Tribolium castaneum: one gene and its partners. The protein of the gene in region 1 purifies or fractionates together with the protein of each later gene. This does not show direct contact. Links are inferred from orthologs where the notes say so. Each region holds a gene or a part of one and is shown on either strand. Other genes may lie near its edges.

Region 1 (5,844 bases):
CGGTTTTGCAAACTGAATCAGCGACTCCTTCAAGTTTGTCAAAGGTCCCTCAACTAGGACTTTCTGTTCTTTGTAGAACGACAAAAGATGGTTCCAGAGTGGTTGTTTTGATAGTACTTTCGGGTTCCCGACTATTATTATTCCGTATTTAGCGCGAGTTAATGCAACGTTGAGACGTCGAGGATCGTTTAAAAATCCAATTCCTTGATGTTCATTTGAACGCACACATGACATTATAATTATATCTTTTTCACGTCCTTGGAACGCATCGACACTTGCAATTTCAATTTCTTGATAAGTCTTACTATGAAGTGAGCCTTGGTACTGCATGTATTGGACCAAGTAAGCTCGCTGACCTTCATATGGGGTTATAACACCGATCTGTTCCGGTTTAACTCCCGACCGCAAAAATCTGTAAAAAAGCAAATTAAAAAAAATAGGCAAACAGAAAAAAAACCAAATGATTTTCGTACCTAGTGGCGATCTTTTCGACATTAGCTGCCTCAGTTCGGTTCAGATAACTAGTCCCAGACCCGGCAATTTCCTCCTGCCCTTGGGTCACGTGGAAAAACATGGGCCTGTCAATAACCGGCCATGGAAAATCAATCTTGTTCAACTTCCTTTCATCGGCACAAACTCCATTTTGCAAACTCCCTTCATAGAAAAAATTGGAGGGAAAACGCGACAATTCTGGATGCATCCTGTATTGTACTTCCAAGCGAAACGGTCGAATTCCCAATACCACCAACCTCTCAAACAAACTTTGGGACAATCCAGCCCTTGCTGCTTTCTTACACATAACAACTGGACCCAACTGACAATGATCACCAACCAAAATCAATTGTTTCACTCCTAGTACCACCGGTACCATACATTCGGGTTCAGTCGCTTGCATACTTTCATCAATCAGAATCGAATGAAATTTCAAACGAACCAATCGTGGATCACCTGCCCCCACACAAGTACAACAAATAACATCGGCAGCTTCGAGTAATTCTTTCTCAGCCAATTTTTTCAACATTCTGTATCGTTTCTCATCAACTGAACTCAACTCTCCAGTCTCATCTTTCAACTGTTGCAACTTCTGGAGTTCAGTATTGGCTTCCATTTTACGTATCTGATTATGCAATGCAAGAAAACTCACAGGCGAATCAATCGCTTCGCGTGATTTCGCACACAATCTTACAACTTTTAGATTAGTTTTGTGAATTTTTTCGGTAAGTTGGTCAACTGCCGTATTACTGGGAGCACAGACTAGGACTGGACCGCCGTTTTGTTTCACCAATTGATAGACGATGGTGGCGGAAGTTACGGTTTTTCCCGTTCCGGGAGGACCTTGGATGAGGGAGAGTGGACGCTGGAGGGCATGTTTGACGGCGTAGACTTGCGAACGGTTCAAGTCGGGAAGATTAGGTGCCGAAAAATGTTTAGGGAGGTGACAACGGAAAAGGACCTCTTCGACCTCGTGGCCGAGGAGGCGGTGGTAGATGTAGGCGGAAACGGATGTATCGTCAACGGCGAATTTTCGCAAGGCGAGTTGCATCCTGCAATTAACAATAAAGGCGAGCTCAGAAAAAAACGACGTGAAAACTTGTTTTCACATAATTATTTTTTTAATTAAATATTCTTAGAAACCTTATAAAAAAATTACCACATTAATATAGCTTGAAATATCAACGCTTAAAATTAACATCTTACAAAGATTTTTTTAACATTCGGAAATAAGAAGTGAAAATGCGTCACTTCTCTCATGCTTTTTTTTTAATTACTGTGATTTTTAAAATAAAGTTTGATTGTAATATTATACTTATATTTAATGTGAAAGTTTATAACAATGGTACTTTCAACGTTTGACTACTAACAGTAAAACATTAATTAAAAAAATAAATAAAAAATGTGATACATAAAGAGATTAACGTGATTATTTCTGTTTCTATCACAACAACGAAATTTACCTGTCAAAACTGGTACTTTTCCAAATGAAATCCACCACAAAGTTGCTGTTACAATCGGTGGGAGCCCCATTTCCGTTCTTCAACTCAATGCCAATATCCTCTCCGTAATTATCAGGAACTTTGATAACGTGTCCCACCCCCGCCCATGATTTATGCATTTCTCCCACGTATCTAAGTCTCAACTCATCTCCGTGCATTAATTTCATATCCCCGTCAGTTTTAGCAAGAGTAAAATACGCAATTGTTTTCTTATTCAAACCCACATCCCACCTAACTTCAATATTTTCCTGAGTCTGAGACTCCTTCAATCTTTTATCATAATCAGCTTCAAGCTTAACAAGAGGACCAAAAATGTTTTGGTACTGATAACCGTCCTCATATCGCAATAAAACCTACCAAAAAAAATTATAATAAATACGTTAGAACTGTGCAAACAAGACTAACTTGTTGCGGTTCTTCGTCAACTCCTGGCCGTTCCAAATCCTGGAACGTGGCATCAACATTATCTTTCCAAAGTTCTTCAAGTTTGTTGATTTGTTGGGCTGAGATTTGGCGCGCTCGCAGTTGTTCCTGTTCTGATGGTATTTTTACAAGCCATGTGAGAAAACACCGGTCGGTAATGAGTGGTTTCCATTGGTCTTGATCCCAGTTCATGTCCTATTAAAAGCTTGAAAACTGTCCTATTTTAAAAGCAATGACTTACTTTAAGTGAGTTTTGGGCGGCACAAGGTTGGCGGCAAAGTAGCACCACAACAGAGTCAGCTTTGGCAGGAATGAACCCCAAAACAAAAACATTGCGGACGCCACAACTGTAACATTCAAGGATTGTCTCGCCCAAAGGGCCGTCCTTGTGTAAGGTCACTTCCTTGTGTTTGGCTCGGACCTAAACCCCAATCAAAAAACAGTTTCCAAGTTGAAATTCCTCACCAAATGGTTGATTATGTGGCTTCCTGAGGTGTTTCCTCTCCCGTTACAAAACCACTTTTTGCAGCAGTTGCACATGACAACGCAATTCGGCTCATGAATGCCGCAGTACTTGCACGCGTAGTTCGGGAGCTCCTTGCTGTTGAAATACTCCTCATCCTCTTCCTCGAATTGCAGTTCCCCTAAAGCACTCGTCGCATTGGCGATTTTGTTGTTGATGTTGTTGTTGAGCTAAAACAACAACGTCATACGACACTGAACCAGGGGGCGACCTTGCACTAACCTGTACACCGGAAACTTTGGGGCCCGCGTGGTCGTGCTGCGAGGCTTGCGTTTGCGATGGAATTGTGAAATCGGTGAATTCGCATTCGGATCCTTGGGTGTCAGCCCCGATCAAGTCGTTTTCTTCGGTCTCTAAAAACGTGAGAGTTTGCGAACTGGGGCCGTATGCGTCGACACTCATCTTGGAGATTTCGTCGCGAACGAATTGAAGCACGGGTTTATTCACGTTTACTGATGAAACACTTTTAACACTTCAATTGATGACAACTCGACTATGGTTACTTTAAAATTTCTACATTTTTCTCCTGGCAAGCGCCATATTTTCCTGATTAATCATTTGTTTTTTTATCGTCATTTCTCTTTCCGAAGCATAATTGACGGAGCGGGAAACTTAAACACTCGTGCTATCTTTTTCAGTTTTTAGCGCACTGATCTTTTTTATGGCCTCAAAATTAAAAAGTGGTTTAGGAAATAGATTATTGCACAACCTTATTGTCTAATTTAATCCCTAAGCTTTTTTTCGTTGGTTGGCACGGTGTTATCATTGTGGTTACCATCTTATCGGAGTGAGACACGTATCGCAATCTTTTAAGTTAAAGAGAGATAAGCATATGTTTGATTGTAGAAGTGGCTAAGGCTGCGTCACTTTATGATTTGATTTTTCACTTTTTTGTAAATTTTACATTTAAACATTATTTTTATTATAAAATTATAGCATAAAGTTTATTGATTTTTCGGTTTTTATTCAACATTCAACACATGACTGCAAAAAAGAGGCATATCAAAATAAAAAAAACACATTTTTCAAAAACAGCCGATTTTTCAGTGAAATTTTATCGGTAATAAGTCAAAAACATAAAATGATGTTCGTTTTAAAAGAACGTAAATTTACGAATGTTTTTGTCGAAATAAATAAAACTAAAAAACGTAATAAGTTTATTGAGTAGATGACCAATAAAACAACTGAGCATTTGGTTTTGCCTACCTAATTATTAAATTAAAAATGGACGAAAAATGGCGAAATTATTATGATTTATGATTATTGAATTTGATATTGCTATTACAAACTTTATCCATAAAAATAGAACGTGGACTCAATAAAAACATTATCAAGAAATGACTGTATTTTATTAAATTAATAGAAATCACACATGCTCTTTATTACAACTGGCACTCCTTATTTTTTAATTCTTCTCATGTTTAAGTAGCTTGCGGTTACTTAAATGCTCACGTATCATTCTGGTTTCCCACAGATACATAATAAATATTACGATGATATAATTGATAGTTTGAAAACTGTTAACTTTTTATTAGGTTTTTGTACAGCGACAATTCAACACATCTATTAATAATTTATTAAAGTTTTACTGCATTATGACCCAACTCATAAATAGTATTGATTACAAATTCCCAACTACACTACAATGAGTATTGTTACAAAATATTTCTTAAACACGTCTCTACATGGCTTGCATTTCATAGCTGATAAGAGATTCCACTGGACTGAAAGATTTTTTTGGACAATATGTGTCCTAACTTCTTGGGTAAATCCCACAAATCGTCAAATTTTTACCACAATAAAATAGATTCACAGGCCGCATCGATTATGCTAATGTTTAACGCACTAGACCAGTATCAAAACCAAAAAATATCCTTTTCAGTGGACACATCTTACTTAAATTGGCAAACAAACTTTCCTTCAATTGTTATTTGCGAACGATCAAATCCAAAAAAAATGCTCGAAGCTAACAAGAAGTAAGTTAATTGTGATTTTCTTTGTTATAACTCTCTCTGCTCGAAGAATTTTCGGTTCCATATCTCAACAGTTCCCCAAACTCGAAACCTTCGTTTTCTTCGACGGTTCCATAAGACACACGCAAGTTTGCCAACCAAATGGTGCTCTACGTGACAAATGCTTGCTAACAAATTACTCGCAATACATGCATAAGGTTGTGGTATTTTCCCAGTTAACATAACTGCACTCGTTTAATTGCAGTTCCGCAGCACTTGTTCGGAAGCAATTAGTTCGTGCTTTTACAACAACGAAGAATTTCCCTGCTGTGACGAATTCTTGCCCATTGACACTTACCACGGGCCTTGCTTTGGCTTCAATTCTCTGGTTTCAGGGTACTTGCCTTTTATTTCACCAAACAAATTTAAAAATAATTTTTATTAGAAAATACACAAGTCGGGAAGACCTCCCTTTCAAAATAACGCGCGACTCAAATTTCGGTTATGGCAACTTATCAGTTGAGCTGTACCATGATGGGTTCATTGTGTATGGGTTGAGCCAAGACTCCGTCCCTACTAAGGAAAGTTCCAGCGAGTTTGTGTTGCTAGATTCACGCACAAGCTCGGGAATTGTTGCTAAAACAGCCTACAAGGCGTTTTTATCAGTTAAAGTAAATTGATTACATTTGAGTGACTGTTTTACAATTGTTACAAAGGAAACTTTCACGGACGAAGCCGCCAGGTTGATGAAAATCGCAAATCGTGGTTGTCGATTTTACGATGAAAATAACTTGCAACATGCAAAATTGTACAGTACTTCAGCTTGCGTGAACGAATGTCTTGTTGAAGCCCAAAGGGAGATTTGCAATTGCACTTATCACATTTTACCACACAATGGTAACAAGTCGGTTCATAAACTATTAATTAAAACTACTTTCTAGATCAAGTCAAA
Region 2 (3,757 bases), on another chromosome or scaffold:
AAGAATTTTGCGTAGAGCCTAAAAAATTATTATTGTAAAGAAATAATTATTCTAAAGAATAATTTATAAAAAACTATTGGTGTCAAGACGCAGTGGTGTGGTGTTTGTATGTGTAGTTGTTACTAAGTCACTGGCATTTCCATCTTTCAATGTCGCTTTTAAGTATTTAAATGAGTTAAAAGCCTGATGAAGTTTATTATAAAATCGAAACGTTGCAACTTGTCGTTTTATTTACAACCATTTAAGGAAGCTGTCCTAATGTCATTAAATTTTATTCCAATAAGAAACAAAAAAATATAAAATAAATAGAATATAAAATAATCTCACTGTAAAATAGTCTAAGAAAAGACTGGATTATAGATCTGCAGACAGCTTTTTAACAAAATTTGAGAAAAAAAATAAATTTTAGACAAAAGAGAAATCTAGAAAAGAATAAGAGTACAAAAAGAATGCAAAAATTAATAAAAAGAAATTCTAATTGAAACTGTGGAAGGGGACAGAGACTGGAAACTGAAGGAGAATTTGGAAAATCTAAAAGAACAGTCTACAAAATATTTATGAATAAAAATCTAGAGACTCAAGACAAAAGAATAATTTAGAAAAATTCTAAACGAAGCTATAGAAGGAATTTGAGAAAACGTACAAGCCACAAGCTAATTTGGAGAATGTATAAGAAATACTTTAAAAAGATTTTGAATAAGTTACAAAATAATTGTGAAAAACATCAAGGGAAGAATTTAGAAATGAATCATAAAGTGGATTTATAATATAATTAAAAGAAGAAACCGGATTTTAAAACTATTAGAGACGGCTTTATAAAAAAATTGAGAAAAAAAAATTGAAACAATAGAAAAGAATTGGTACAAAAAACATACTAAATATTGATAAAAAAACTTTAATTTTAACTTAAATGAAATTGTAGAAAAGGGTCAGAGGATGGAATAAAAGAAGAATTTGGATAATGTAGAAGTAGTGTTTATAAAGAACTTTTAATGCAGTATAGAAAATAATTCTAAATAAAAATCTAGACATGAATCTAAAGAATAATTTAAAGAATAATAATTTAAAAAAAATGTAAAGATGGGGTTATAAAAAAATAATCCAAAGAAGAGACTGGATTTTAAATCTAGAGACGACTAAAATAATTTGAAAAACATTTTTAGAAATATTTTGAAAAAAGAGCAATCTAGAAAAGAATTGGTACAAAAGAATACTAAAAAAATAATAAAAAAATACTAAATAAAACTGTAGAAAGGGACAGAAAGTGGAATCTAAAGGAGAATTTAGAAAATGTAGAAAGCGTTTATAAAAGAATTTTGATGAACAAAGCATTTCTAAATCAAAGTCCATACGATGAATTTATAAAATAAGTTTATTTCCTATTTCATATTTACAGATGGTTTAGAACAATGAGAGAAGAATGTTAAAAAAATAGTGACACAAAATCAAAGCATAATTTTGGAAGATCTAAACGAAGGATTTTGAAAAGTCGCAGAGTAAAATCAAAAATAAAATTTTTAGGATGTATTAAAAAAGTGATTTCAAAGAATTTTGAATTCAGTCTATTAGCTGTTTTTTAAACTACAAAAACGCCAACGTCACATTTTGTCTCAAAATTAGCTGTTAATGCTGTTATGAATTTTTGATGCACCTAAAAAAAAATAATGAAAGTTATAACAAGCGAATTTTTAAAATTTTGATCTAGGTATCCTTGACAGTTACCTCAACAGTGAAATATATTACGTAAATAACTTCAGCATCGCTTTATCTGTCAATATATCTAAAATATTCACCGAAGAACATAAAAAATTATGCTGGATTCTTATTTCCCTAAAGGACATTGGGTTAACTTAACTGTTGTGGATTACTAGATCAAAATTTTAAAACATCGCATGGTACTTTCAATGAAAGATCTAAACATTAATAACTGTTTTACAATTTCATCAACCTTGGCGTTTGTATAGTCTTGAAACAGCTAATATAAATACAAAGAATATTAAAAAAACATTTGGAAATGAAGTAAGAAACGCCACGTTAGCGTTTATATAGTTTTGAAACAGCTAAATAGAAATGTATTATGAAACATTTTCGGGATCTAAATATGGTTTTAGAAAAGAATATGACAAGAATGTTAAGAAAAGTCTAGGGACGAGTACTGAATCCATGCTGAGGAATAAATAATTTGAAAGAATGTTAAACGAAATTATAGAATTTTGAAAAGACGCAAGGGAAATGTTGTGTGTTATTATTATTAGATGTTATTAGTGTTTTGTGCAATAAAAATAAATGTATTTTTTATTTTATTTATTTTATTCCGTGTTTTTAAATCTGGAGAATTATGGTGTTACAAGTGGCACGGTTGGCAACGCTACCGCGACTTCAAACGTCAAAGAAGCATCCCAAATTTATGCTAAAAATCGGTCTTTTTTAATAAAAAAAACGTGTGTAGTGTCGTTGTTACAATGGCAGATGTTTTGGACATCAACGATTCCGTCGAATTGGACGTGGAAGACGAAGGAGACCGTAGGCAAGCCGTAACATAACCTCTCCTTTTCCTAACCTCACATTTCCAGAGAGCGTTTTGCGCCTGAAAGATAAAGTTGTAAAGCGGAAAGGTCGCGGCTTTGGGCCTGGAGAGACCAAGGAACATGAGAAAATTCGAGGATATGAAAGCATAGATTCCGGGGATCACGGAGACGAGCCTGGGCCACAGAAATGTAATTTGCATTTTAAACAGTTTTAGTGTTGTAAACAGTTATTTTGCGTTCTAGCTGTGGAGGGGTGGATTTTGTTTGTGACTTCGGTGCATGAAGAGGCCAGTGAGGATGATTTGAGTGAGAAGTTTTCCGAGTTTGGGGCTATCAAAAATATAAGTATCAACTTGGATCGTCGGACGGGTTTTTTGAAGGGATATGCTTTGATTGAATATGGGACGTACGAGGAAGCGTTTGCGGCCAGGGAGGCTTTGAATGGGTCTTTGTTGTTAGGGCAAACAGTTGGAGTTGACTGGTGTTTTGTTAAGGGGCCCAAAAAGTAAGTTTCTTGGTTTTGAATGGTTAAATCTTAGTGATTTGATTTCTTTTCAGGTCAAAGAAACGTGCAAGGAGACACTGATTGTAACTGTAAATTATTTATAACTCAATTTTCCACTTATATCCATTAATTTCTTAAGATTACAAAAGTAAGGTTCTTTGGTGTATTTTATTTATGACATTCAAGAAGTAATAAATTGTGAGTTTTTTACGTGTGAAGTGTATTTTTTCTATAGTTTGGGACAAGCAAGTATTCTCAAAAGACTTGGTAAAAAGTACAATGTGATCATTTAAAGTTATGGTTACAATAGATTTTAAAATTGTTTTAACTTGGATTAAAACGGTGATTATCAATTATCACCATTAATCCAACTCAAGTTTAAATAAGGATCGGTATCAGAAACATATAAAAATAAACAGTCATTTATTGTAAAAAAAACACTAATAACTGTGCTAATAACAAAAAACAATGTGTACTCTGTTTCTGTGAATTGTAGAATTGTCAATGTCACAATCAATAGTGGAGTAGTTGTTTCAATACTATAAAAACATCAACGTTGCATTTTCCCTTAAAATTAGCTGTTATAACTTATTCGTGGACTTAAAAAAAATAACAGCTAATGTAATTTATATTTTCAATGAGATCTAAGTATTAATAACTATTTTATAATTTCATTAAAAAAAATAATTTGGTAAAATGCGACGTTGGCGTTTTTATAGTTTTG
Region 3 (4,905 bases), on another chromosome or scaffold:
CGGTTTGAAACTCCTCAGGGTAGTATGATTTGATCAGCGAATTATCATCAGTCATTAAGGAATGGTAACATTCCGGGAGGAGTTTTTTACTGGCTGGGGGCAACACAGCCAGTAATTGTTCGTAAGGTTTGAAGGGTTTTCCGAGCTCAAAGTCGATTTTCAAATCGGAAAAACCCTTAATGTCGGAGATGTAGGGCGAATAGTGGTGTGGATAAAACCACGACCATGAGCACACTCCGTTGTAGTAGTAATTCAAGTTCCATTGGATGGCACGGACGTAGCCTTCGGCTTGCTCTCGCATCACTTCTCGCGTCACCTCTTGGAACTCTAATTTATTACGATAATACTCGTCTTTGTAACTTTTGAAAGCCTCGTCTTCTTCTGATGAAATGCTACTTTCGAAGTCTTCTTCATCGGAAGAGACGGCCTTTGCATTGAAAATGTTCAATTGGGAGAGTTTTTTTTTAAACCAGGACTTACCAAACTATCGGTTGCTGCTATTAATTCAGCAAGTGCGGGGTCAATTTTTTTCTCCTCGCCGTTTTTAACAGGTTTAGACTAGAGTGTAGAAAAAATAAAGTTTACTAAATATTAAACTTTTCATATTGTAAAATAGCGTATTCAGTGAAAATCTATTACGTAACGTAATATTTTATTTTTAGTTTTTTCACGGTTTAATGGATTTCCAAATAACAATAATTATAATCATTTTTGAAGGAAAAAAACAATATTAGGTCTTCTTAATTAGCATGTTTAAAAAAGTACACAAACTTACAGTGTTTTTATGGGCTCTCAGCTAAAAATTAGACGGTTCCGAGCCTCTCAAAAAGCGAGACCAATAAAAATTAAAAAATATAAGAAAATTAAAACAAACTTCAACAATTAACGTGATGTTTAATAAAAATAACAAACCCAATTATTTTGGAAATAATTTAAAACTGTCAAAAACAAGAAATTGTTCTAAATGAAAATGTGCTTAAATGCACAAAACATAAAAAATAACACCATTTTCGAGCAAAGTCAACGTTTTCTCAGATTATTTTTAAAGAAATACCATGCAATAATCAACGTCTCTGTACGAACAATGTCATAATAAAATAAAAAACTAGAAAAATAATGATAATCATAATTTATTGGTTCTGGAGAAGCAAATTTAAGAAAATTTCGCTCTTTAATCTCAAAAACGTACTTAAAAGATGAAATAATCTAAGATTTTTGCAACTAATTTGGTAATTTTTCGGTTTATTATTCATGCAAAACAATTGCGTTTGCACCTGAAAGATGTGTAAAACGCTCGAAAAAGGCAAAATTGTTTACTTTTTTGCATTATTAGAATAACTTACACTAACGGGAAGATGCGCAGTTGCTTTTCTCCCAGTTTTGCGTTCAAAATACGTTAAATCATCTTGGATTTCCTCAAAGTTTTTTATATCTACATCTGCCAACTTTTTCATAAATTTTTCGAACCGCTCTAAATTCAGCGTTCCGGCTTCATTAATGTAGCCTACAAAAACGAATTACACAACATTTTGAGTAAGAATAACGAAAATAACCATCTAATGTTGGTAAGACTTCAATGTAAGCTTTATAAAGAACAGGTAATGCTCCATTAGAGATGTGCAAATTAGGCAAATTTGGTATAAAATCGTTTCCAACAAGGAAGCCCATCAGAATCTAAAAGCATTAATTTCAGTCACATTTTTCCAAAGTTTTAGTTAGTACCCAGTCGTCAATAATGTTTTCAATGTCAAATTTAATCTTATCTGAATCCTTCAAAGCCTCCTTGAGAGGCGAAAATTCCATTTCTAAATACTCTCGCATTAAAGATAAATGCAGCAGATAAAATCTTATCTCTTCAGGTACATTGCTTCGTTTGGCTTTTTTGCCAAACTTGACCTCTTCCCTCAACAGTGAGAAGTGGGGGTCATGGGTGCACAACCCCAACATAATGAGATCAGCGTCCAAGCCATAAAGACAGTGGCGCGTATTTGGATCATACCCAGGCTGGGACCTAATGTACCTTATATAATCCATGATCTTATGCTCCCCTTCGCCGGGCGTCTCATGCCCTGATAAAATTATTTTACACTTTTTCCACATATTGTCGGTTGAAACTTTAGAAACGACGAAATATTTCAACTGTTCGTGCAACCTGGCCATGAACTCAGTGCCAGGTGTGATACAATTTGAGTCAAAACGTTCCACGTCGGGCAATTTCTCGCCCTTTTTTTTCGCCTCAAGTTCCATTTTTTCCGCGTCTTTCGCCGACCGAAACCGGCGTCCCCTTTGCTGGTTCATTTTGGCTCTGGGCGCCACCCCGTCCACTGCCATGAAGAACACCTTTTGGGGCTTGATCATCCGGAATAAAAATTCAATATAGTGGAAAATGTCCGCGAATATCTTCTCCTCGGTGATTCGAAAGTGAGGGTTGTTGTCGTCCGGATGCGAACACATGTGGATTATGCCGTTCATGTCCAAATACAAATTATCAAAAACTGGGATCTGAAACCCAGAATGTGGACGTGTTGGGTGCTGGCTGCGGTTTACCTGATATTCTTTCACAAATTCACTCAAACAAGGGTAGCGTTCGCTTATGTATCTGAAAAACTTGGGAACCCCCATGATTTAGGCTTGTTTTCAGTGCGGGTCTCAACGTCGCTCGCAAACTCTAAGACGCATGTAAATATAGAGTGTGTTTGAATGAAATGAAAGAAATAATCCACCAAAAGCTCTATATTCAATTATGAAATGCTCATCACAACTCACAACAAAAAAGAAAAATATGTCGTTTCGAATGACAGATGACAGAAAACGTGGATGACCCTAATGTCGGCTTTACACGCCACTGGCGTAACCGTACCGCAACGTAGGGCAAAGCAAATTATCGCTTCAATGACTATTTTATTTGCAACTGCAGTTCAGAAGAAATGGAAATAAAACCAATCTCGTTATTTAAAATATTTATTGTTACAAAAATAGTTAACATAACAATAATAAAAATTCATGTTAAATGCATTTATTTCCGCCAAATAAATAAATAACTTAATGAAAAAACAATTAGGTATTCGAAACCTTTTGTCAGTGAAAAATTTACAGTACGTTTTGACGCTTTTACGTAAAGGACATAAAAATAAAACAAGACATAAATAGACGAAACTATGTTACATCATTGAAGGCACGTAGAAACAACCTAGTCAAATTTATGAGTGATAAGAGGGAACCTCACGATGCGCAATTGATTTCCGTAATCACAGACCACAGCATCGCGTAACAACATCAACTGTTTGATAAAAATATACGGTGAACGGCCTAATATAATCGTTCGGACACATTCACCCGACCTCACATCCCAAATAACTAGCCCTCCACTGCGAGCTGTGACAACCAAATGAGGGGCCAACATCAACACCTGGCTAGAAAAGGTCTGAGAAACGTAAATGGTGTTCAGAAGATGGCCTTGGAAGCGCTCCCAAACACAAATGCGGTCGTCAGAACCCAGTGAAATCACGTAACTCGCAGAGTACGTCAGCGATGTTATCGTACCATCATGGGCCTGGATGTTGTACATACAGGCACCTGTAACGACGCTCTCATTAAATTTCGGCCTACCACCAAACCTATTTACCAGTTAGAAGATCCCAAACGCAGAGCATTCCGTCCTGGGAGCCACTGCCAGAAGTCGCTGGACTGATCCTGTCAATGAAAAGACAGGTGATGGGGCCGCAGTGGCCGTGCAGCGTGTACTGGGGGCTGCCGTCCTCCAGTCGGAACACTTTAAGCGTGTGGTCTTGGCTGCCGGTTAAAATTCTGCCGCCTTCACAGTCGAGGCAGATAATCGGCTGTTGGTGTGCCTTAACGCTGAAAACTTTCAAACACCGGAAATCTTCCTCATCCTCGTTCTAAAAATCGTAATTTGGAGAAATATTCAGAGTTAAAAATGATAATTTACTTGTGAAATTAAATTGGTGTGATCAGGGACGGAACCAACTGAGCCAGTCCTTACGTGGGTTCTTCGGTATGCGCAAGTGAAATTCCAGTCAACTGGATGGCCACGGTTGTAAGTTTGTAATTGGAACATTTCCAAGGTGCCATACAATCGGGATGCGATAATTCGCGACCCCACGATTTTTAAATTGCTTATTCCAACATCGGTTCCGTCTTCAAATATGCACTGCAACAATAATTGAAAAAAATATTAACAAACAATTTTTTTTGCAATCTTTAATCATACTTTTTTAACTGTGACTGCTTTTTGTATTTACTGTACCACGATTTCAAATAAATTTCTCTAATCCTACCGCCCTTTTTACAAACCTGTGTAATCTGAACAGCAAGAGTTTTTAATCATAGTCCGAACTTGTGTATTTAATAACTCAAACAGTATGATTCTTGAAGTGATTCATCTACTGAGTACTGATTAATAAATAATAGGACATTTTTTCAAATTAGAGTAGTTTTTCCAATATCTAATTAATTTTTTGCCTTGTCGAGATTTCTTTCTAAAGGAATTATGAACTTTTTAATAGTTTTTTCAAATTTTACCGAACCTTCGACTATTAAAGCTTATCACAGAATTTAAGACCTATAACTCTATGGTCATCTTAGCCATTTTATCCTGAATTTATACATTAGTATAGTACTATTACACAAAAGACTGAGTAAAGGGATAATGATAAGAAATTAAAAAGAAAAAAAACAGTAAACAAATTTGAAATTCCATTTCAAACGTTTAGCAAAAAAAAAATGCAATGGCGCATTTATATTTGCGGGGCAAATAGATCACAAACTTCACGAGAACTCTGTGTAATACAATTAATAACTTTAGCAGTTTTTCCTAAAATATATCTGTTTTCACGTTTCGTAAAAATATTATCATTTGGAGAAAATGCATTAAAAAATTAATTT

What was found. Proteins that work in one complex are often made in the same cells at the same time.
Region 2: the proteins of regulator of nonsense transcripts 1 (region 1) and tsu purify together in Homo sapiens (co-immunoprecipitation; 7 studies listed by BioGRID and IntAct, with this or other methods). This does not show direct contact. The link is inferred for Tribolium castaneum from reciprocal best matches to the Homo sapiens genes UPF1 and RBM8A.
Region 3: the proteins of regulator of nonsense transcripts 1 (region 1) and pcm purify together in Homo sapiens (affinity purification with western blotting; 4 studies listed by BioGRID and IntAct, with this or other methods). This does not show direct contact. The link is inferred for Tribolium castaneum from reciprocal best matches to the Homo sapiens genes UPF1 and XRN1.

The regions. Positions count from the first base shown.
Region 1 is NC_087397.1:526,907-532,750, reverse strand, and holds the start of regulator of nonsense transcripts 1, read right to left. Parts: upstream 3,676-5,844; 5' UTR 3,343-3,675; coding exon 3,163-3,342; intron 3,111-3,162; coding exon 2,883-3,110; intron 2,839-2,882; coding exon 2,659-2,838; intron 2,613-2,658; coding exon 2,400-2,612; intron 2,348-2,399; coding exon 1,956-2,347; intron 1,545-1,955; coding exon 474-1,544; intron 413-473; coding exon 1-412. Other genes in the region: sodium channel protein Nach, read left to right, coding at 4,586-4,705, 4,756-4,916, 4,963-5,110, 5,158-5,288, 5,338-5,563, 5,609-5,789, 5,834-5,844. UniProt on the Homo sapiens protein: RNA-dependent helicase required for nonsense-mediated decay (NMD) of aberrant mRNAs containing premature stop codons and modulates the expression level of normal mRNAs.
Region 2 is NC_087399.1:11,507,515-11,511,271, forward strand, and holds tsu (RNA-binding protein 8A), read left to right. Parts: upstream 1-2,347; 5' UTR 2,348-2,462; coding exon 2,463-2,523; intron 2,524-2,573; coding exon 2,574-2,717; intron 2,718-2,771; coding exon 2,772-3,033; intron 3,034-3,086; coding exon 3,087-3,114; 3' UTR 3,115-3,243; downstream 3,244-3,757.
Region 3 is NC_087398.1:6,305,558-6,310,462, reverse strand, and holds the start of pcm (5'-3' exoribonuclease 1), read right to left. Parts: upstream 2,815-4,905; 5' UTR 2,623-2,814; coding exon 2,548-2,622; intron 2,503-2,547; coding exon 1,723-2,502; intron 1,675-1,722; coding exon 1,554-1,674; intron 1,505-1,553; coding exon 1,344-1,504; intron 559-1,343; coding exon 481-558; intron 428-480; coding exon 1-427. Other genes in the region: SCAP (sterol regulatory element-binding protein cleavage-activating protein), read right to left, coding at 3,191-3,576, 3,626-3,899, 3,950-4,171. UniProt on the Homo sapiens protein: Major 5'-3' exoribonuclease involved in mRNA decay. Required for the 5'-3'-processing of the G4 tetraplex-containing DNA and RNA substrates. The kinetic of hydrolysis is faster for G4 RNA tetraplex than for G4 DNA tetraplex and monomeric RNA tetraplex.